Caenorhabditis elegans: one gene and its partners. The protein of the gene in region 1 purifies or fractionates together with the protein of each later gene. This does not show direct contact. Each region holds a gene or a part of one and is shown in the gene's direction. Other genes may lie near its edges. The genes, in order: wee-1.3, mecr-1, EEED8.2 and lec-2.

Evidence for each region.
Region 2: the proteins of wee-1.3 (region 1) and mecr-1 fractionate together in Caenorhabditis elegans (co-fractionation; one large-scale study listed by BioGRID). This does not show direct contact.
Region 3: the proteins of wee-1.3 (region 1) and EEED8.2 fractionate together in Caenorhabditis elegans (co-fractionation; one large-scale study listed by BioGRID). This does not show direct contact.
Region 4: the proteins of wee-1.3 (region 1) and lec-2 fractionate together in Caenorhabditis elegans (co-fractionation; one large-scale study listed by BioGRID). This does not show direct contact.

What each region holds. Positions count from the first base shown.
Region 1 is NC_003280.10:9,713,032-9,718,701, reverse strand, and holds wee-1.3 (Membrane-associated tyrosine- and threonine-specific cdc2-inhibitory kinase wee-1.3), read left to right. Parts: upstream 1-2,234; 5' UTR 2,235-2,239; coding exon 2,240-2,495; intron 2,496-2,566; coding exon 2,567-3,075; intron 3,076-3,123; coding exon 3,124-3,471; intron 3,472-3,520; coding exon 3,521-3,658; intron 3,659-3,704; coding exon 3,705-4,018; intron 4,019-4,083; coding exon 4,084-4,519; intron 4,520-4,567; coding exon 4,568-4,600; 3' UTR 4,601-4,965; downstream 4,966-5,670. Other genes in the region: Y53C12A.11 (PRE_C2HC domain-containing protein), read left to right, coding at 123-530, 577-656, 703-838; Y53C12A.6 (uncharacterized protein), read left to right, coding at 927-937, 986-1,103, 1,165-1,224. UniProt on the Caenorhabditis elegans protein: Acts as a negative regulator of entry into mitosis (G2 to M transition) by phosphorylation of the CDK1 kinase during oocyte maturation.
Region 2 is NC_003280.10:13,185,297-13,189,257, reverse strand, and holds mecr-1 (Enoyl-[acyl-carrier-protein] reductase, mitochondrial), read left to right. Parts: upstream 1-1,943; 5' UTR 1,944-1,984; coding exon 1,985-2,074; intron 2,075-2,124; coding exon 2,125-2,233; intron 2,234-2,288; coding exon 2,289-2,509; intron 2,510-2,565; coding exon 2,566-3,180; 3' UTR 3,181-3,271; downstream 3,272-3,961. Other genes in the region: W09H1.4 (DUF1902 domain-containing protein), read right to left, coding at 3,527-3,562, 3,894-3,961.
Region 3 is NC_003280.10:5,415,017-5,419,426, forward strand, and holds EEED8.2 (lipocalin/fatty-acid binding family protein), read left to right. Parts: upstream 1-1,697; 5' UTR 1,698-1,719; coding exon 1,720-1,971; intron 1,972-2,021; coding exon 2,022-2,168; intron 2,169-2,603; coding exon 2,604-3,029; intron 3,030-3,268; coding exon 3,269-3,343; 3' UTR 3,344-3,429; downstream 3,430-4,410. Other genes in the region: EEED8.3 (lipocalin/fatty-acid binding family protein), read left to right, coding at 1-253; EEED8.15 (PHR domain-containing protein), read left to right, coding at 4,258-4,410.
Region 4 is NC_003280.10:10,009,748-10,018,168, reverse strand, and holds the start of lec-2 (32 kDa GBP), read left to right. Parts: upstream 1-1,985; 5' UTR 1,986-2,285; coding exon 2,286-2,706; intron 2,707-2,757; coding exon 2,758-5,189; intron 5,190-6,835; coding exon 6,836-6,904; intron 6,905-7,226; coding exon 7,227-7,315; intron 7,316-7,382; coding exon 7,383-7,710; intron 7,711-7,763; coding exon 7,764-7,925; intron 7,926-7,970; coding exon 7,971-8,093; intron 8,094-8,162; coding exon 8,163-8,276; 3' UTR 8,277-8,421.

The sequences.
Region 1 (5,670 bases):
TGACAATTGACAATTGTCATGCTTTTCAAACTAATTTTTTTATTTTCCTTGATTCATAATGCTGAAAATTTTCAACTTTTTTAATAATTATCATCTAGAAGTTGCAGCTCTTCAACCTCAAGATGAATCATATCAAAGTGGAGGCAGACGACGACGTTGTGTACATTGGGTCGAGTAAGAGCTCTTTAAAGAGCGGAAAAGCTTCTATGAAAGTCGAACCAACGGATGCTTCGATTCATGATTCGCTCATTAGGCCTATCTCGGCTCCTGGTACAATCAGTTCGGAGAATGCGAATGTTAATGTGAAATCGGAACGTGAGGCGTCGAAATCCAATCCAAATATTCCACGATCTGAGAATCTACTCGATACAAAATTGGATCGCCAAGAACTTGCGTCCTTCCCTCGGAATATTCAACAATCTGAAAATCTGCAATCAGCGCAAACTTTCCCAGCTGTGAATCGAGGAAGGAAACGCCAAATCACTCACGAAAATGCCGATAATGCGAATCCGGCAAAGCGGCCAGACTTGGCAATTCTTTAAGTGTCCAAATTGGAATTACAAACTTAAATTTCAGATGGCGAGTCACTTCATGATGCTGAACATCAGGGACAAACATGTGGTGCAGCGAGCGACGAGAATTCTTCGTTTCTTGGGGTGAATATTTGGTTTAAAAATGAAATAATTACAACATTTATTTTAGGATAAAAGAGTTTATCTTCTCGGATCCAATCGCTCAAAGCGTCGCAAATGAAAGTCGATCGGCCGTCGCGTTCACCGTTTCCCCAAAGGATTCCGCAAAAATTTTGGAAAAAAATCAACGACGAGAACTGGATTGATGTTTTCGATTGCAAGAAAATAAAGGAGCGCAAACAAGAGTTCTTCTGGTACAAGCTGGATCCTCTTGATTTGGCCAAAGCAGTGGCAATGGCTTCACAGTAATTGATTTTTCTCATCTAAATTATAAAATCATTGCTATTTTTCAGAATGAACGACAGAGGAGTCATCCCGTATCCAACACCAACGCTCAATGATGCCCTCAATGACCATGCTGCTTTGATCCGCGCACTGAACGATTCATCGATCAAAAAGTTGTTCAAAGAGGTCAGATTTTTTTGTACCATGAGAAAACGATTCAGCACAATCCGCAATAATCCAATTTCAGTCAAGCGAGAGCCCACCAATTTCTAGTTCAACATCAGAAATTCAAGAAAATAATTTTTAAATTCATTTGTCAAATATCCCATTTTAATTTAAAACCATGTATTATAATATTTCTTTAAACCCCAACCATTGCAAATATGTGTAATTTTTAAAATCTATTCGCTGGTTTGATTGCTTATTGCACCCACTTTTTTATTAAATATGAAAATTCTATTGGTAAAATAAATTTTAACTCTTAAATTTTCCTGTTTTATAAAATTTTCCTGTTTTATTTCCCTTTGTTCTACTTTCAATGCTGTATATCTGACTTTCTGCGGTGTTTAGGTAGATGATTGCTCTTGAATTGACAGGCCGTATCGGAGAGTCTTAAAAGTTTTCATCTGCTAAACCGGTTTGTAGTATGTAAATAGTCCGACAGATCCAAGCTACTGAAATTTTGTTTAACGTGATGTAATTCACATTATTATTATTGAAATTTTAAAAAAACACTATTTTTCTTTGGGTCTGCTAGACTACAAACTACAAAACATATCTAGCAGATAAATTGTCTCATATCGCTCATAGAAGACCCACTACAGTTTAATATTGAACCCTTTCTTCGGCAAAATTGGTCATTCCGGTTGAACACCATATTTAAAATTATTTTTTGAATATCCCGCTGTTTTCCCCTGTCTAGTCTGCATTTGAGCGCCACGGTGTTTGCACAATGTGTCTTCTCCTCTTTCGCGCGCTTGTTTTGAATTGCAATCGCCGTTGGCAGAATTGTTTGTTTTCTCGCTGTTTTGTCGCCTCCGCCTAATTGATTATTCATTCCTTCATACTAATATTATCTTATTATAGTAATTTCAATGTTAATTCCAATATACTCTCAGAAATCAAAAGGTTTTTTAGTTGAAAACGTTCCAAACACGTTATTATCGATTTCTCTCTATTTAGCATCTTCTCTGCACCGCAAAAATCTATTTTAAAAAATTTCTGTCGATATTAATTTTGATAAAACATGTTATTTATTTTCTTTGACCTTCCTTCCTTCTTTTTTCCGCTGCGTATGATTAATTTATTCATTTTCAGTGAAAATGGACGACACAGAGGGTAACTCCTCGATGGATTCCATTCGAAATGGTCAATCAAGTCCACTTCCACAGGTCACTCCACGCTTACCACAAATCCCGATGATGATGCGTGAGACACCACTTTCCACAAAACGTGAGCGCCAAGCAATTACTCCACGTTTCCGTCGTCCAGCTCCGAAAATGATAAAAACTATGCCACCAACAAGAAGCATTTGGTCTGTTCGGAAGGAGTCGGTCCCACTTTTGGTCACTCCGCAGGGTATGTCGAGTTGATTATTTTAAACATTAATTATTTTTGATAAACCCAACACATCTCAAGCATTTTTTCAGGACCAAAACCACTGGAATCGCCAAAGTACGATCATACAAATGCTCAATCATTCTTTGAACAAGTATTTCAAATCGATGAAATCATTGGAAGAGGCTCGTTCGGAGAAGTATTCGCAGCCAGATGCCGTGAGGATTCCCAATTGTATGCTGTCAAAGTATCGTTAGCTCCGATCCGGCAACATTCAATTTCCAAGTACCGAGAAGCTGAGAGCCATATGATCATTCCACCGCATAAGAATCTTGTCAAGTTCTACAGAGCCTGGGAGGAAACTGGTCGATTGTATATTCAAACAGAACTTTGCGATCAAAGTCTTTTGAAATATTGTACAGAGAAACATGCACTACCGGAGGACGAAATTTGGAATATTTTCGTAGATTTGCTCCAAGCTGTTCATCATTTGCACTCGAACGACATGATTCATGATGATATTAAACCGGAAAACATTTTTCTTACAAAGGACATGATATGCAAACTCGGAGATTTTGGTTTGGTTATTAACCTTAAAAATGTAAGTTCATACTTTTTAATATTCTGATTTTATTCAATCGATTTTCAGCCAAATGATGTGAAATCAGCGGAAGAAGGTGACTCGAAATATCTTGCTCCAGAAGTTTTGAACGGCCGTCCCACGAAATCATCAGACATTTTCAGTCTAGGAATGACAATTCTTGAGGCTACTACTGATCTTGACGTTCCATCAAATGGAGATTCGTGGCATCAAATCAGAAATGGACAGATTCCTGATAGATTCTTCGCTGGAATTTCTACAGATCTTCGCAGTTTAATTGCCTTGATGCTTGACTCTGATCCGAGGATTCGTCCAACAAGTCGAGATTTGCTTGATCATCCGGTAATCAAGAAGAAGCTCATGAAGCGTGGAACCTATGTAAAATGCATTTCAATTGTAAGTTATAGTTTTGTGAATGAGGGATTTTGACAATCACTGGTTTCAGCTTAACGGCTTTTTCTACGCCTTCAGTGCTGTTCTTGTCTGGGTAATGGCTTTCTTCTCGGTGCTCTTTCATCCTATTGTTCGCTTCCATGCTGCAATTAAAGACCGGCAATCGGAAATTTGTGCGCAATTTGTCAATGTAATAAGTTTTTTTACCCAAAATTTTATCAACTCGAATTTTTCAGAATCAGCAGCACACTCCCATCCAAACTCCAGAGACTTCTAAAGTTTATTTGGAATCTCTTACTGGAGTGGCTGTTCGCCAAGCATCTCAAATTGTGTCTCCTTTCGATTTTTCCGATGATGAGAATCCACCAAACGCGCAACGCCGTTTGTTCACTGGTGCAGTGCCGTGTCGCTTGAACTTTGATAACGATCAAGATGACGATGAGGAACAGGCGACTTGCTCATCATCAAACTCTTCAGCTATTGAGCCCCAATTGGATGAACCGGAGAGTCCGCCGAGAATGAACGATGTTATTGATAAACTTGGAAAACGGTTGGTTTTGTTGTTAAATATTCAAAAAGTTTCTGGATTCTCTATTACCAACTGCTATTTTTCAGAGGAACTCCAAGATCAGCTCGTCGTAATCTCACTTTCAACCGTCATCGTCAAGTAGCCGCGTCAGTTGCACCGAAATCGTCGCTAAATCATTATAATCATCACACTGGATCTGGAGATGGATTTAGTAATAACTCTCTAATTCCAATTAGTGATCAAGAACGAACGGAAAAATATCTCCGAATGCGACTCACCGAGCAACAGTTAGATTGGGCAGATCAGAATAATGTGATCGACGAGGCTCCACCACCAATGTCTTGTCCGCCAAGAATCCGAAGAAGCATTCGTGATCTACCGAGAATGCCTGTTCTCAACTTTAACGTTCTCGACGAGCCATCGAATAAACCGACTGTTGATCATCATACGATTTTGGAGCAATCGGAATCGCCACGTAGAAGATTAAATAGAGGGGCTAAGCCTGTGCCTCGTAATAGAATGGTTAGTAGTTTTACGCTAAATGATTTTTATTAAATGTTTTTTTTCCAGATGTCATTTGGATCATCAGGCGACGAGGTTTAATAATGCACAAAAATCAGAAAAATTGTTGAATATTTATTTTTTGCATTTATTAGCATCTCGTACTTTTCTTACTTTTTCTCATCCCATCATCACTTCCCCTAGGTTTTATGCCTGTTTACAGTAGTCCTTCTCACTAGTTATTGATTGATTTCTTTTCCCCCTTGACGACCATCTCTTCACAAATGTGTCATTACTCGAATTTTATTTACTATTTCTTCTGGGTGCTTATTTTCTGGTATTTTTGTACGTCTTTTTGTAAAATCTTTCCCCCTCTCGACCATATCGCACTACCATTATCACACAGACACACAACTTGTCATTATGTCCTTCTTTTCTGAAATTGAAGATAAAACGTATTTTATCTGAACTACGTATATTTTTTTAATTTCTCCATTTCATACAGAATCCAAATTTATTCGAATTGAATAAAGTAGGTACCAACCGATTACACATATGTCTGGTGTAATATAAACTCGAGAGGGTCTTGAGAGAAAACCTGTTCTTGTAGTACTGGAGGTAGGACAGTACAAAAAAATTTCCCACAGCTTTTGATAGCCATTTTGATTTATTTCGATAGGAATATTAATTACTTCTTAAACTACACAAAAAAACAAAAAAAAAAACTATAGAAAACATCGTAAAACCTACTTCCTTTATCAAAAGTTTATATATTGTTTTAACTTTTACTTACAACAGAACAGCAATAATTTGACTATAAAAACCGTCATTAAAAAATCTCGTACCCTCAGAATTTAAAAAGAAATTACAAGTGCTTCTATATGCATTTTGAAAAAAAGACACCACCGCCTCGATAGCTCAGTTGGGAGAGCGCACGACTGAAGATCGTGAGGTCACCAGTTCGATCCTGGTTCGGGGCAACGTTTTTTGTGCATTTGTTTAATTTTTTTTTTGCAATTTGTTTCAAGTTCAAAATCTCACAGTTTGGCCTTCTGGGCGTCTGATCTGTCTTGATATGAATATGCAAATTGATGCATAGTCGTCCACCTTGATTCCTGTTCTCGAACTGTGACGCGCTTCATTTTTGACCTTTCTCATTATATTTTTGATAT
Region 2 (3,961 bases), 3.5 Mb from region 1:
AAAATTGTGACGTCAGCACACTCTTAACCATGCGAAATCGTGTTTGCGTCTGAACTCCCGCATTTTTTTGAAGATCAAACCGAAATAAGGCATTCTGACCAAGGGTGTCAATTCCCGTTTCCCGTTTTTCCCGTTGTCCCGTTTTTGGGGTGTTTTCACGGGAACGGGAATTCCCCTTGTCCCGTTTTTAAAATTTTCACGGGAACGGGAATTCCCCTTGTCCCGTTTTTAAAACTTTCACGGGAACGGGACATTTTCCCTCATTTTTTGGCTTTTTAAATATCTGTTTAACATTGAAAAAATCGATAAAAATGTTTATAATGCAGTTTTTTTTATAATTTGCCTCGAATACACTAAAATTTACGCCAACTATGCACTCTTTTTTTTAAACCGCCCAGTTTGTCCCGTTTTTTGAGTGTTTTCAAAAAAACGGGAATTCCCGTTGTCCCGTTTTTGAAATTTTCACGGGAACGGGAATTCCCGTTTTCCCGTTTTTGTAATTTTTACGGGACATTGACACCCTTGATTCTGACCCAGGGAAATTTCTTTAAAACATGCCTATGGGGTCACAATGACCGAATATTATGATTAAAAAATTCAAAAAATGTTTCTAGATTTTATATGATTTTTTGAAAATTGGAAAAATCTCGGTTTTTGCCAAATTTGTTCGATGGAGCGCGCTTGCACGTTTTTAAATTTATCTATTTTATTTTGTCTTATTTTCCACCGATTTTCCATGTTTTCAGTAGATTTTTGCTTGAATTTCAAAGAAAAAGTCAAAATAAATGCAAATTTTCGATTAAAAACCAAGAAATGCACGATTGGAACCTGAATTAATCAATTTCACAGATTTATGCTTGTAAATTAGCTTTTTAATCAAAAATTTGCATTTATCTTGACTTTTTCATCAAATTTCAAATAAAAATACACTGAAAACATGGAGAATCAGTGAAAAATAAGAAAAATAACAATAAATAAAATAATGCAAGCGCGCTCCATCGAACAAATCCAATTGGCGGTAATTCAAATAGGAATTAGGGGAAAAACTGAGATTTTTCCAATTTTCAAAAAATCATATAAAATCTAGAAAATTTTTTTTGAATTTTTTATCATGATATTCGGTTATTGTGACCCAATCGGCATGTTTTAAAGCAAAAATTTAGTGGGTTTTCGATATTTTATTTCGAAAAATCCCGCTAAATTTGAATTTTTCGGGCAAGAAAAGTGAAATTTTCGCATGAAAAATAGCGGAAAATCGACTCAAAATTGAAACTATAGGAAAAAATTGCCGAAAATGTGCAAAAAGCACAAAACTATGTAAAATGTACGATTTTTCCAGTCTAAAACTGCAAAAAATGAGCGAAAAAATCGCGAGAAATCTGATTTTAAAGTAATTTTGAGCAATTTTCTGTCCTTAACATCTCGAAATTATCACATTTTGCCGATTTTTGTTCGGGAAAGACTGAAAATGATCCGTTTTCAACAGGGAAAATGAAAAAAGTCCCGTGAAGGTCGTCTTCGCTTTCGTTTCAACCTTGCAACTGTTTAACAATATCGACAAAAGGAAAGATTTGTCTTTTTAGGTTTTTACTTGGCATCTTTCACAAAAATAATGGGAGGAAATTGATTAGAAAAAGCGCCGTGGGACAAAAATCGGGCAATTATCGAAAAAAAACACGACGAAAACCTAACAAATGAGTAAAAAATCGATGAAAAACAGTTTTTTTTCAGTCAAGGAAGTTGAAAAAAACTTGAAAAGCGGATGAAAATTGGAAAAATTTGGGAAAAATTGCGAAAAAATCGCGAAAATCGTTGTTTTGAAAAAAAAAAAAGAGTGTGTGGTAAACAAGAGACGCAGAAAAAAATAGACAACGATACTCCAAAATAACGCCTACGCGTGTTGTTTATCGTAAATCTACAACCGTTTATTTCTATATTTTCTATTAAAAAATAAGAAAATCTGTGTAAACTGTGCGAATTCCGGATGTTAAAAGTTCTCAGTCTACGATCTGCGCTCCAGAGAGCTGCCTCGACAAGACAACTAGTCTATGAAGGATATAGAAACCCTCCCGAGGTGAGAGAAAACGCGAATTTGCTTTTAATTTTATTTGCATTTAATTTCAGGCAATACAATTGAAAACTGTCACAATTGCGGACAAGCCGTCTGCGGATCAGGTCCTGGTTCAATGGATAGCAGCTCCAATCAACCCGGCAGACTTGAATCAGATTCAAGGTAGGTTTTTATAGCTCCAAAATCTGAAAAAATAATTATTTGAAGTATATTTCAGGTGTGTACCCTGTGAAGCCAGCTTTACCGGCGGTTGGTGGAAATGAAGGATTTGGGAAAGTGATTAGTGTTGGATCCAATGTGAGCTCGATTAAAGTTGGAGACCATGTAATTCCCGACAGATCTGGCCTAGGAACATGGAGAGAGCTCGGGCTCCACCAGGAAAATGATCTTTTTCCGATTGATAATACTCTTTCCATGGAGTATGCTGCAACATTCCAGGTATGATCTATAAAGCTAGGGAGCAGTGGAATAATCAGAATTTGTTTTTTTTACAGGTGAATCCTCCCACAGCTTATCGTATGCTTAAAGACTTTATCGACCTGAAAAAAGGAGACACAGTGGCTCAAAACGGAGCCAATTCGGCTGTCGGGAAGCACGTTATTCAAATTTGCCGGATCCTTGGCATCAAAACTGTGAATGTTGTGAGAAGTCGCGATAATCTGGAAGAATTGGTGAAAGAGCTGAAAGATTTGGGCGCCGACGAAGTTATCACACAGGAAGAGTTGTATAGTCGAAAGAAGAAATTCCCAGGAGTCAAGTTAGCATTAAACTGCGTTGGAGGCAGAAGCTCCCTGTTTTTGGCGAGTCTCCTGGACCACGGAGGATGTATGGTGACCTACGGTGGAATGAGCAAGCAGCCTGTCGATTGTCCAACCGGGCCACTGATCTTCAAGGATATCTCGCTTCGCGGATTCTGGATGTCAAGATGGTACGATATTCAGAAATCCCCGGAAAAGCGGCATGAGATGTACCAGGAGCTTGCCGGTTGGATGAAGAGTGGAGAGATCAAGAAGCAGGAGATTGTGAAGAATCGATTGGAAGATCATGCAAAAGCTCTCGATACTGCGCTGAGCAAATTCGACAAGAAGCAATTCTTCGTTTTGGAATAACTCGCTCCGTAATCGGGTATCATTGCTACAATTTAATGTGATGTGAAGATTGATCATGCTTTTTTTCCAAATAAAAACAGTTTTTTGCCCGAATAGGTCCTCAATGGCGTGTTTCTGAAAATTGTGATGGCCGAGATGCAATTGCGCCATTTTTCAGATTATACTCAATTACAAAATTTATGAAATAAGAACGTGAACTGACAATAAACTGAACTGATGGATGAAAGTAAGGGATTTAATTTAAATTCGGGATGTGAAAATCTTTCAGAAAAAAGGGGAATAGTAGGAGAGGTAATTTGAAAGAAAAGTCAAAGTCATTATCAGCAGCACGGGGGGGTTCCAAGAATTAGATAGACGCTTTGCTGACCACCAATTTGATCATCTGAAAAAATATCGAACATTTTGAAATGAAAAATGAGGACTCAAATTCTTTTCAAGTTTCACTAGGGTTGTTAAAGGGGACGAAGGGGAACGTCCTCCTCAATTTTGAGAGCTTTTTCCGCCGTCCCTTTTGTAGTAAACTGGAGCCCCAACATGAAATTGGATTAATCTGATGAATGTTGCTTCGATTTGATAGTGGTGCTTCAGCTTTCTACAAAAGGGACGCCGGAAAAAGCTCAAAAATCGAGGGGGACGTCCCCCTTCGTCCCCCATGACAGCCCTAAGCTTCACTCTATTTTTCTGAAACATTTTGTAAAAAAAACAAGTCTTACAGGCATATAAGATGGCACCTGAGCTCTGATAGAGTCGATGATGCGATCCTTGATCTTTTTCTCGTCCT
Region 3 (4,410 bases), 4.3 Mb from region 1:
ACTTCATGTTCACACCGATTTGCTCGGAAAATCTCTGATTCCTACAATTTTCGAGTTTGATAAGCCAATTGCCAGGGACGACAATGCGGTTTCAACGCATGCAGAAGGAAACATGATGAGCACCATTTGCAAGAGGATTGCTGACGGATCGATTGTTTGGAAAGTGGAGAGACTCATCAAAAATGGAAATCTTGTGGTTTTCAACAGCAGAGGGAACTTTCGGTGCAAGAGAGTATACAAGCGTGTTAACTGAACAACTTATGATATTACTATTTTTATTCCATTTAACGCCGTTATTTTTAATTCGTATTTTCAACCAAGTTGACCGTGACAATAAACCTTTGATTTCTTCTTTCTCGATTGACGATTTAAAATTTGAAACTTATTTGCAGATGCGGAGAATTTTATAGGCATGTTTTACTTGCTTGGTTCGCGGAATTTGGCATTTTTTGGTACAAAATTTCGTTTCCGTCTCGACACGATCGGAAGCTACCGTAACCCGAAATATTCCACAATTTTTCACCCAGATCAGTCCGGGAATTGGATTTTAAAATACAAAAAAAGTTGTCCAACTGAAAACCTTTTTCTCTGGAATCAATCAGAGAGTATATAAAAGCAAAATATAAAATCAGTATATGTTTACTTGCCTACATGCCTACACGCCTACTTCAAGCCTGCCTGCCTACTTACCTACTTCAAGACTGCTTGCCTACCAACGTGCGTAGTTAATTGCCTGCTGTTCATACCTTTTGGACAATGACTGAACCAAAAAAACTTCAATTTATTTTCTTTGTAAAAGTAACAAATAAAAATGGAGGCACGTCTGCAGGCACACAGAAGGCCCCTAGAAGGCAAAGGCCGGCAGAATATCAGGCAGGAATTTTTGCGTCATTCTATGTAATCTACCAAAGTTGGAAAAATAATTGTCATTTTACAAGAATGTAATCTCCAAACATAGATTTTTTAACCCCGACTTTGTGTGATGAAAAATCATTTTTTAATTGATGTAACATGTTTTATTCATAATATTTCCGCATGTCGTCAGTGTTTATCAATCTTTATCAGCCATAATAATTGTATTGTTTTCTCCGACTGTCATTTTTATCTATTCATTAATTTGATTGTCTTTCTCCTCTTTTTATTTATTTTTTAATTTATATATGTGGTGTCATACATATGCATATCATGTTTGGTTTTTCATCCCAGTAGTTATCATCATTCCTAGTTTTTAAAAGTTAAAAAAATTTTTACTGTATTCAAAAGCTTGTGCAAAAACTCTCTGCAGACGTACATCAATAAACCAAATAACCCACAAATGACAAATCAATCCTATAAATCATATCAACTCAATTTTTGGTTGACATGTGATATGCGCGCAGATTACACATATTCTATTGATGAGAGTGAACCCTAAGGCGCTTAATTGACCCTTTAAAGTGAGAAATATTATGGATTCTGTGGAGATAGCAGACAGCGAGATTCTTTGTGTCGAGTAAACATACTGACATACTGGTTGACCTCGAGAAGGAGCCTTATATGTTTCTATTGAATGCCAGATTGTGGACTTGTCTCTGTCTCTTCTCATTCCTTCTTCTTAATTTCTGTAATTCTTTTTGTTCAATAAATTTGCATAATTCCCCTTAAAAACTTCCCTAAAACATGTTTCTAATGATTTTCTTTAACTTACACAATTTCAGGTAATAGTCTTACTGGGTCAACATGTCATTGGATTCTAATAGCGATACCGAATTCGAGCTTGTTCCAAAGTTTCAAACTCAACCGACTAGGGGTGATGCTCCAAAATCTCCGGAATTGGAAGAAGTATCTACTGTATCGGATCTGCAAGATGAATTGAAATCTCTTCGTTTGGAAAATAAAGACTTATACTCTTTGATGGAACAACTCAAGAAAGATAATGACGAAATGAAGAAATCTTTGGAAAAAGTGATGAAGAATCAGGCGGAACTTGGGGTAAATTTAGATAAAACTTGAAAAATTCTTATTGATTATTAAAATTTCAGGAACTAGAAGAAATTCGAGCTATTGAGGATGATAAACGCAGTGAGAAACTGGCAACAGAGCTCGTAGCTATTCGAGCCGACTGCTCAAGCTTGAATCGCTCTGAAAGAGAGTGCAGATATGATATTGAAAGGATCTTTGCGAAACTTGTGAGTACCTAACAATTTTGAATCTTATACGTCTTTCAGATTTTCAGTAAAATATTAAAACCTCTCTAAAAGCCCTCGTCTACCAACTATTCACCCAACTATTCTGAAAAAAATTCTGTACAAAAATTCTGTAAAAGTTCAGAAGCATGGAATAACTTCTGATTGTTTTAAAAATTATCCCCTTTTAATGGAAATGTTCAAAAATAAGCTCAAAAACTTCTGAAAAGTGAAAGCAATTGTGTTTGGCGATTATCCCTTTTAGTTTTGTATGATTTTCAAAACTGTAAAAATCCATTTTTTGGCATAAAAATTCAGTTAAAATTATTGTAACATCACATCGAAATAACTCGTTTTTAAAAAAGCCTTTTTTAAAAACTTTTCAAAATTGTGGAAAACTTATTTCACTAGACATTTTTATTATCATTTGTTTTTCAGGAAGAAGAGTCATTCTTCAGTCTCCACGAGAATCCAATTCAACGAACAATCAGTGGAACTTGGAAAGTAATCAAGATCAGCAATTTCGATGAATTCTTTGCAGCTCAAGATATATCTCAATTCCATGCTTTGATAATTAAGAATCAATGTTTGTACTTTAAAGTGAACAAACATCAAGTGAAAACTCAATCGTACCATGAAAGAAGTTGGAAGCCACGTGCAAGAGAAGAAATCCATTATTTTAATTTTCCGAATTCCCTGGGAGAATTGTATTCTGTGGAGAAGAATAAGTTGATTCTAACTGTAACACAAGAAGAAAATGATAAGAAAAAAGTGATTTCTCGAGTTGAGAGATCGGTTGTCGATGGACAAATGAAAGAAATCTGGGAGAGAAATGGAGTCATTTGCGAGAGAATCTTCAAGAAGGTTTGTGAATATCTTCGTTTTCCAACTCTCAATTTGAATTCCCTCTAAAAACATTAGACCAATCAGAGGGGGTGACAACTGATTGACAAGTGATTGATAAAAAGCTTTCATTTTAGAGGTTTTTCAAATTGGAAGATTAACAAGAGTTGTGTTATTGTTAGGTACAAACTGAAAGCTGGAATATTACTTTTTTTTTTAAATCTGTTTCTCGTTCCAAAATAATTATTTATTTTTTTCAGATTCCTGACCAGAGAGACTCACGTGCTTACCCAAGAAGCATCTACGGATCGGAGAGCCAGAATATTTATTATTAACTTTTTTTTTTTAATTGCCTCCTCTCTATAGATTACTGTACCGCTTCTCATGTTCCAATATATATTAATAAATCTAATTAATCCGTCAATTTTCTTTCTTGGCCATTTCTCTATCTTTCTCGTTCACTCTCTCTCACACGCAAATTTTCGAGGGTTGGCTGGCTGGTACCGTGGAACTAATAACCACCTTTAGCAAATAGTGTGTGATACGAAGAGAAACAAAGAAAACGAACAGATGCTCTTATTCTGTTCTCTGTTCTCTTGGTCCCGCCATCTACGCATCGATTGTGTGAGAACACCCACCCCGTGTGGTGGTGTGACCTCTCCTAGAACAAGAAAGATCTACATTTTCTTTACGTGCTTCGGTTTTCGTTTTGTTATTTGTCTTGCTATTGTGCACTGTAGTGGCATAGGACTCTAGGTTCCACGCCTAGCTTTTTATACGACATCTAAAAAATATCCGAAAAAATCGTTGAAGATTGTACTGTTTCGAGCATCTTAGGCTTAGGCTTAGGCTAGACTGGGTAAGGCTGCAAACTTCCTTAAAGTTCTTGAAACAAATCATATCGAAGATGACTGAAATCGACATACCCGATTTTCAAGAAATATTATTCAATTATTCAATTCAAAAAGTTCATGAGCCCTAATTGATATTAGCAGAGATACCCTGTTGCAGCCAGTGTATCAGTATTGCACCTCCACTGTTCGTCAGTCGATAATTTTTTCCATAGTTAACCCAGAGAAAAGTAGATCAATAAGGATATTCAAATTAAGGTGCTGAAGTGGAAGCATACTGACTTTCGAAGATTTTGCATATATCTTGTTTTTTTGGCGATTTTCCTTTGCTCACATAATATACCTATTCTTATTTTCAGACTTGGTACCAATTTCATTCTTCTTCGTCTCCTTAACCAATGTCTTCGCATAGCCGATCATCCAGTGATTCGAGTTTTGAATTTGTGAAGGAAGATGGCGAATCTCAAGTGGCAAAGATGGCATTGAAAATGGAACAGAGGTCGAAGGAAGTTCAAGATGCTTTAGATATCCTTAGCATCAATGGAGATGTT
Region 4 (8,421 bases), 300 kb from region 1:
AAAAGACTTTTCATGTATTCAGATCTGTACGAAATTCAAGAACAGTTTGTATTTTTAGCTCTTTACTCCCCTCCACATCCTTCTCACGAACTCTCCTGTCATATTACTTTGTGAAACTTTCTTTCAAATTTCAAGAAAAAAGTGGCTCTTCTCTCATGTCGTCCTCCTCATTTTCACTTTAAGCTTTTTTTTTCTCCCATTTCATTACCACCACATGTTCATCATCATCACCCACTCTTCTCATCTTTGGCCCGCTTCAAACCAAGCACATCTTGAAATCCGAGGCGTCGAAACAACGATGTAAACTAAACTATTTCATGAGAATGTTTCCGCCTTTTTTCACCCATTTCATGCTGCAAACTTTTTTTTTCTAAAAACGAAACATGTGGTGTGTTCAGTTCTGTCATAACCCCCATTGAAAAGTGAAATCAGAGAGAAAATGGATAAGAGAAGATAGGAAGTGTTCAGGTTGTCCTGTGGAATGCATACAGAAATTTATAAATAAATACTGGCACAGTCACATGACAGATGGGTAAATAGTTAGTATAAGTTAAGTCTCGCGGGTTCTTGATCAAATGAGTATCATTTGATTTGATGATCCAACATTATGAATCAATTTTTCCGAAAGTCCTACCGTATTCGCTCACTATTTCATGAAAGCAAAACCCAAGAAAAGTCATGGAAGACAAAAGTAAGTCTGAAGTAAAACTTTCTTTAAACCTTCTAATATTGACAGTGCAACTTTATCAAGTTCTAATTACATTTACCTTCATTTTATTTGTATTAGTGTTCAATTGTTAGAGGGGAGAGCTCCTGACTGACGAAAGGTCAACATTAGAGTAGTGGCGGCCGATGGGTGGGCGCCTATAGGAGCATCTGATAATTGTTTGTACGGACCGTCGATTGTGTAACTTCGGATCATACGACGTGTGTGTGACTCCCTCCTGCAAAAGTTCGGAATGTAAAAATTAATAGGCAAAAAACCACATGAGCATGTGATTTGGCATCCAATTTTATTGACATCAGGAGGGGGAAGACCACGAACCTCTTATCACCCCGGAAGCCAGCACCAGCTGATTGCGTCGTGTAAACATTCAAAATTTGAAAATGACACATCAAAATACGAGTGCATTCGATTCAAACAATACATAGATCAATAGACATTTCCCTTGTTCAAGATCATGTAACATATATAATCCTTTCCGTTGAGAGCCCCGTTCTTCAGGAAACACCGGAAATACATGATTTACATGAAGGGGGATTTAGACTTGCCAGCAGGAAATGCGGATAAAAAATTGGGGATAAACGATGCCACGGCATAAAAAATTGAGGAGACATTGTATACCTAGATTTTGAATTGAATTCTTCTATATCCAGATATCCAGACCTAATTCACGATGAGCTTCTTTTCATGAGTAGCTCTCTCTAATTTTGTGCACTAACTCTCATTCTTTTTGAAGAAAATTCAGATTTCATTGTTACACCATTATGCAAATCAAGTGTACATTCAAATCAGAAATTTCATAGTTTCCCCTTCTTTTCTCTCTATCATACGAACGACTAACAAATGTTCCGGAATATTTTGCAACGAATATTTTCTTCTTCAAATTCTAGAGTTCTTATGGTGAGTCTGACGTGCGTCACTTGGACACCTGAAAAATCAGCAGGCTCTCTTACCAAATCTCCAAATCTGGTGGGTTGCATTGCACTCTTTCTGTTTGCCGCACATCGGCTTCCCCCGGGCTTCACCTCCTTTCTCTTCTATCTCTCTGTATCTCTACCCATATCAGTTTCGTCTAGCTGTATCTTGTTGTCTCACACTATTTCCCGAATTGCCAGCCGTTTTTTTGCAGACGGCACACGCGTGCGCGGCGCCCCGTGTTTCTTTTTTTGTGCCCCCAGTTCATTTGGCAGAAACGAATGGAACGACAAATGAAGAGAGGGGAAGATAGAGGCGTCCTCAGGCAGCAGCGCGGTGCGCGTGCAGATCAGTCAATACTCGTACACCTGTATGCGTCTCTTTGGCGCGGCGCCTCAAAACCTCTCAAACCCTTCCGAACCTACGCCACGCCCATCCTAGGCCACTCCCATCATCACAATGTTGAAATAGTGCTGGCTCGAGAGAGACGAGTAGAGAACGAGAGTGCCTCCTTCGTTGAGATTGGCCTGGTGTGCACTTTCAGACTCATTCCGACACACTCCAAGCCTGCAAAGAGGTGTGTGTCTTGTATTTCCCTGCTATTTTCTACAACCTCTTCTCATTTCGTTGACTTTTTGTGCTAATCATGGCCGATTCGTCATCATTCTTCTCATCGGCCTTCAGCTCAGCGAAGAATCTTATTCCGTTCGCTAAGAACACAGAGGATAAGCCTGTCGATGCCGACACTGCTTCCGATGCTAAGGATGCCAAAGATTCAGCTATTCAAGAAGCCGTTCAAAATGCTTCAGCTGCTATCAATGACGTCTTCACCGATGCTGTTGATAAGCTGGAAGAGGTGAAGGATACCGTAGTTGAGCAATTTTCCAACGGTGATGAGAAGAAGGAAGAAGCTGTTGTTGAAGAGAAGTTTGATTCTGTTCATGTTGGAGTTGATGGAGAGACTGCTGTACAGGAAGCTAAAGAAGAAGTCAAGGAGGCTCAAGTTGTTGTCAAGGGTGTTTTGGCTGATGGAACTCAGATTGTCGAAGGTGTTACTGATGTCGCTGGTGAGTCGGATTTATTGAATATTCCAAATTCTGATCCTATTACTGTTTCAGAAGCTCCAGTAGCTGATGAAAAAAAGGAAGAGACTGTAGCAGCTCCTCTTGATTCTGCAGCTCCAGTTGAAGAACATAAGGAGGAATCTCACTCTTCTGAGCACACTGAAGCACCAGCTCACACTGAAGATTCAATTGTTCAAGCTGACCCAGAAGCTCGTATCGTTTTCCAAGGAGTTCTTGCAGATGGCACTCAAATTATTGAAGCTGTCTCGGCCAACCCACCTTGTATTCAAGAAGAATCTGCTCCAGCTGCAGCTGTATCTGAAGAGGTTGGCGAAGCTGTACATGTTGTTCCAGTTGATCAAGCACCAGAAGCACCCACATCGGAAGCACAGGACGCTGCTCCAATCGAGGAACATGTTGAAGTTGTGCACGTGGCTGAAAATGCATCAACACCAGCTGCTACGGATGCTCACGAGGAGACAAAATCAGCTGAGGAGCAAACACCAGTTGTTGATGCTTCTCCAGCTCAGGAGATAGTGAAGGTTGAGGAGCATGAACACAAGGAAGAAGCTGCTCCAGATGAGTCAGCTCCAGAAGCCGCTCATGATTCACATGTCGAGGAGACCGCCGCTCAAGTCGTCGATGAAGTCATCGAGGCTGTTCATGTTTCTGCTAATGAATCGGCTCCAGAAGAGCATAAAGAAGAAGTAGCCGCTGCAGCTACTTCTGAAGATCAGAAAGAACCAGCTCCAGCCTCCGACGAACATACTTCTGAATCAGCAGTAGAAGGAGCCATTGAATCCGTCCACATTGCATTGACCGAATCTGCTCCAGTTGCATCCGATGAAAACACAACTGAAGCTGCACCGGGAACTGTTGAAGAGCACAAGAACGAGGTTCATGATCCAGTTGATGGAGCTTCATCCGATGCTCCAGCTGAGGACCACAGAGAGGCTGCTGCATCATCTGAGTCTGTAGAGGAACCAATCACAGCTGTCCATGTAGAAGCAACTGAATCTGCTGCTCCAGCTGACAAAGTTCATGAAGAAACCAAAATTGATTCTGCTGCTGAGACTCATGCCGATGCTCCAGTTGTTGACGCTTCTCCAGCAGAAGATCAAGCTTCGGAAGTTACTGAAGCTCCTCATGTAGAATCAGCTAAGTCTGCACCAGCAACATCCGAAGATCACAAGGAAGATGTCGCACAAGCCACGTCTGAACAAGTTGAAACTCAAGCTCCAGCCGATGAACACAAAGATGACGCATCCCCTGCTGAGCCAACAACAGTGCAAGATGTTATTGAAGCCATTCCCATTGTCTCTACAGAATCGACACCTGCGGAACATTCCGCCCCAGCCGAATCAGCTCCTGCTCTAGCTGAAGAACACAAGGATGAAGCAGCTCCATCTGAGCCAGTTCAGGATGTTCCAGTTGAAGAGGTCATTGAAGCTGTTCACATTGCTCCAGCAGAATCAGCACCGGCTTCAGTTGAAGAAGCCGCACCATCAGAATCGACTCAAGCTCCAGTTGAAGAACACAAGGACGCTACCACAGCAGCCGATTCATCTCACGAAGAGCCAAAAGCCGAATCTGATGCTCCAGCTGCAGAGTCTGTAGAAACTGCTCCAGTCGAGGAACATAAAGATGAAGCATCACCAACGGCGCTAGAATCAGTTGAAGATGTTATTGAAGCTGTTCACGTAGCCTCTACAGAATCAGCACCAGCTCCAGTTGAAGATGCCGCATCAGCTGACTCGACTCAAGCTCCAGTTGAAGAACAAAAGGATACTGCCGCAGCAGCTGAACCATCTCACGAGGAAGCACAAGCAGATCATGCTGCATCCGTTGAAGATGTTATTGAAGCTGTTCATATCGCTTCAAATGAATCAGCACCAACAACAGAAGCAGCTCCATCTGAATCTATACAAGCTGAAGATCATAAAGACGAAGCTGCTTCCACAGCCGAACCAGCCCACGAAGAATCCGTTACAGTAGTTGAGGCATCACATAAGGAACCACAAGCAGAGTCTGCCGCACCAGTTGAAGAAAATATTGAATCCGTTCACGTAGCCTCCGAAGAATCTGCACCAGCCCCATCCGGAGATGCCGCCCCATCAGAATCAGCACCAGTATCAGAAAATCCAGTAGAAGAAGTTGCCGTAGCTTATCACGTTGAATCAATTGAATCCGTCCCAACCGACGCCCAATCAGTAGAAGAACCAGTTGTTCAACAACACGTAGGAACAGTAGAAGCTGCACCAGAAGCAGCAGTCGACGAGGAATCATTCGACGTCGTGCATGTTCACAGTGACGCCGCACATCCCGAGACGGCTACACCAGAATCTGGAAGCGAGGAGACATTCGAAAAAGTCGAGCATTCACAAGTGCAAGAGGCACCTTCTTCTGAAGAGCATAACTCTTCAGAGCCTGAAATTGTGGAAGACGTTGTCGAGAAGCAAATCGTCGCCGCAGTTGCTTCAGCTCCAGTAAGTTGTTTTTTCCCATTTTTGACTATTGAATCTATTTGAACTTACCGAACTTTTCTTCTTCCATTAAAAAAAGTTTATCTCTCATTACTTTTCTATTTTTTCTTTTTTCGAAACCCGCTTCCTCCATCTGTCATTAGTTTAGCTTTGAAGTGTTGTGTATGTGTTTGCAGCTTTCAAACACTGAAAACACCTGACTTTTTCAAAATTTCACTCAACCTGCTGCCCTCTTGACATCCTTGACATCACATAGTTATGAGTGGGAGGAACAGCTTTCTTGCATCATCTATCATAAGAGTTCAGGGGTCATTGTTTCATACATCGAACATCATCACTTCAGATGAATCACACACAAACTACCAATTTGTCGCCCTTTTACGAAATTTGTCGGTTGATTCAATTTCACTCGAAACTATAGGTAATTGTAGAGGCGAATTTAGTGAAAGAGGGTGGGAAGGCTTGAAACCGGTCCAAATTTCACCTGCATACATATAGTGTGCGAGAGGGCTTCGGTTGCGGGCACGTCAAAAATCTGTTTACTTTTTTCAAAAAATTGCCTCGGACTTTGCAGAGTTCAAATGCATAACCTGAAGTTTTTTAGGATTTTAATGTTGCATCCAACTTTAAAGCTTAAAAGCTTAACTTTAAAATTTTAAAAGACCATAAGTCAGTTCATTTTAAAGATATCAATAAAAGACTAATTACAAAACGATAGAAAAAGAAATAAAAAATATTTTGCCAGTTGACTATTTTTGAAAAAAAAAAATTGGAACAACAGGCTGCAATAAACTATTCTGTAGAGTTCCTCCCTGGTTTGATACTTGATATTTTAAGGCTATATGTTGGCCATCTTACTTTTTCCGATAAATTTTCAGATTTCTAGATCGATCAGAATTGTATCGTTGTTGTTTTTTAGATGAAATTGTTTTGTTTTTCTGTCGCTTTTACTCTCTTTCTCTCAAATAACAACATAGGCTATTCTTCGCGGTGTGAAAAGAACCGAATGATGTTGGCACGCCCAAAGCCGATATCATTCACGCGTATGGGTATCTGCCATCATCTCTCTCCCTCTCAAACAATTCTCGTTTCAATTGACAAATCGAAAAGATACAGTTTATTGTCTTTTTTCGGAAATTGAACCTAGTTTTGCGTAGAAATGTGTAATAGTGTAGTAGGATTGCTGTGTCTAGTTCATGTGTTTCAGTAAATTTAATAATAAAATTGAAAATTTCGAACAACAAAAGACACATCAAAAATGAGTCACTTTTTGTTTTTTTCCCACATTTGATGTCTGCCTGCTATCTCTTTTCCTATCCAAGTGATAAAAATTCGAAAGATACACAATTTTTCTTTCAATCTTTTTCGTCTCCTTCGGAATTTTCTCTACGGTTAAAAAGCGGAAAACGATGGGTCCCATTCTCCATTTCCATTTCAATTTCCTGTGTTCTTTTTTCTGCCAATTCCATTCCATTTTCGTTCGAAATTTGAAGAATGGATTCAATTGAACTGAAGAAAAACGATGAAGAGAATGGGCGAAAAAAGCTAATTTAGTTTTGCAAACTTTTCTTTTCCAATTTTTCAATTCACTTCCAAATATTTCTACTGTATCTGACTTGACTTTAATCCATAATTTTTTATAATTTCAGGAAACTCAACCGGAAGAATCACCGAAAAAACCAAGAAAACTTGCTGAAATGGCCCATGAGTCCGCATTCGTAAGTTTTATTTTTTAGATCTGATCTTTTTCTTCTTCTTTTTTCATTCTATCTGTCAACACTTTTGCCCAATTTATCTCAATTTTTAATTGGCTTTCTTTTCCTTTTTTATCTCAAGTCATAAAAAAACGGGCGGGATACAAATTCGTGTTTGTTAGTTGTTGCGAAGACGACGACAAATATTTTTCCTGTCAAGGTCAATATCACCTTGATAAACATTTTTGGGTGATGTTGATCGTGAAAACCCAGAATTTCGTGAAAAAATGACGGATTGAAAACGTAAATTGATAGTGATAAATTGAGTAACAAGGACGAATTTCAGCCAGTTCCATACCGTAGCAAGCTCGTCGAGCCATTTGAGCCAGGACAGACACTTATTGTGAAGGGAAAGACTGGAGAGGATTCCATCCGGTAAGTATGAAGAACCATCTTATTTATTCACAATAAAAAAATATATGTGAACTGATAAAATATTCAGCTTCACCGTCAACCTTCACACCAACACCGCCGATTTCTCCGGAAACGACGTTCCACTCCACGTTTCCGTTCGTTTCGACGAAGGAAAACTTGTCTTCAACACCTTCTCCAAGGGAGAATGGGGCAAAGAAGAGCGCAAATCGAACCCATACAAGAAGGGAGACGACATTGACATCCGCATCCGCGCCCATGACTCCAAGTTCCAGATCTTTGTTGATCAGAAGGAGGTGAAGGAGTACGAGCATCGTGTGCCACTCTCCTCCATCACACACTTCACTATCGACGGAGATGTTCTTGTCAACTACATTCACTGGGGAGGAAAGTACTATGTAAGTAAAAATAGATGAATTATACTCAGTAACTCATACTAAACTAATTTCAGCCAGTTCCATATGAGAGTGGGCTCGCCGGAGAGGGACTTGCCCCAGGCAAGACTCTTACTGTCTTTGGAATTCCAGAGAAGAAGGCCAAGAGATTCCACATCAATCTTCTCAAGAAGAACGGAGATATTGCTCTTCATCTTAACGCTCGTTTCGATGAGAAGGTATATCAATGATTTGAAGATCCGTGTAATACTCTAAAATTTCAGCACGTCGTTCGCAACTCGTTGATCAACTCCGCTTGGGGAAATGAGGAGCGTGAAGGAAAAATGCCATTTGAGAAGGCTGTTGGATTTGATTTGGAGATCCATAACGAGCCATACGCATTCGCTGTAAGTTATTTTTCAAATTAGATGTAGACACCAAAAAGTTGTTCTTTTCCATATTATCCAATATTCCAGGTCACCGTGAACGGAGAACGTTTCGCATCGTATGCTCACCGTCTCAGTCCTGATGAGGTCAATGGACTCCAAATCGGAGGAGACGTTGAGATCACCGGAATCCAACTCGCCTAAATGTTGCCCATTTTATTCTGCTCCAAGCCTCCCAAAAATTCGTTCCCCCAACCGCTCTTTCTCTGCAGTAGCTCTCCCCTTCAACTTTAAAAGAAAAATACTTTCGCTTTTGCGCGCAACTTTCAAAAAAAAAAGAACATGAATT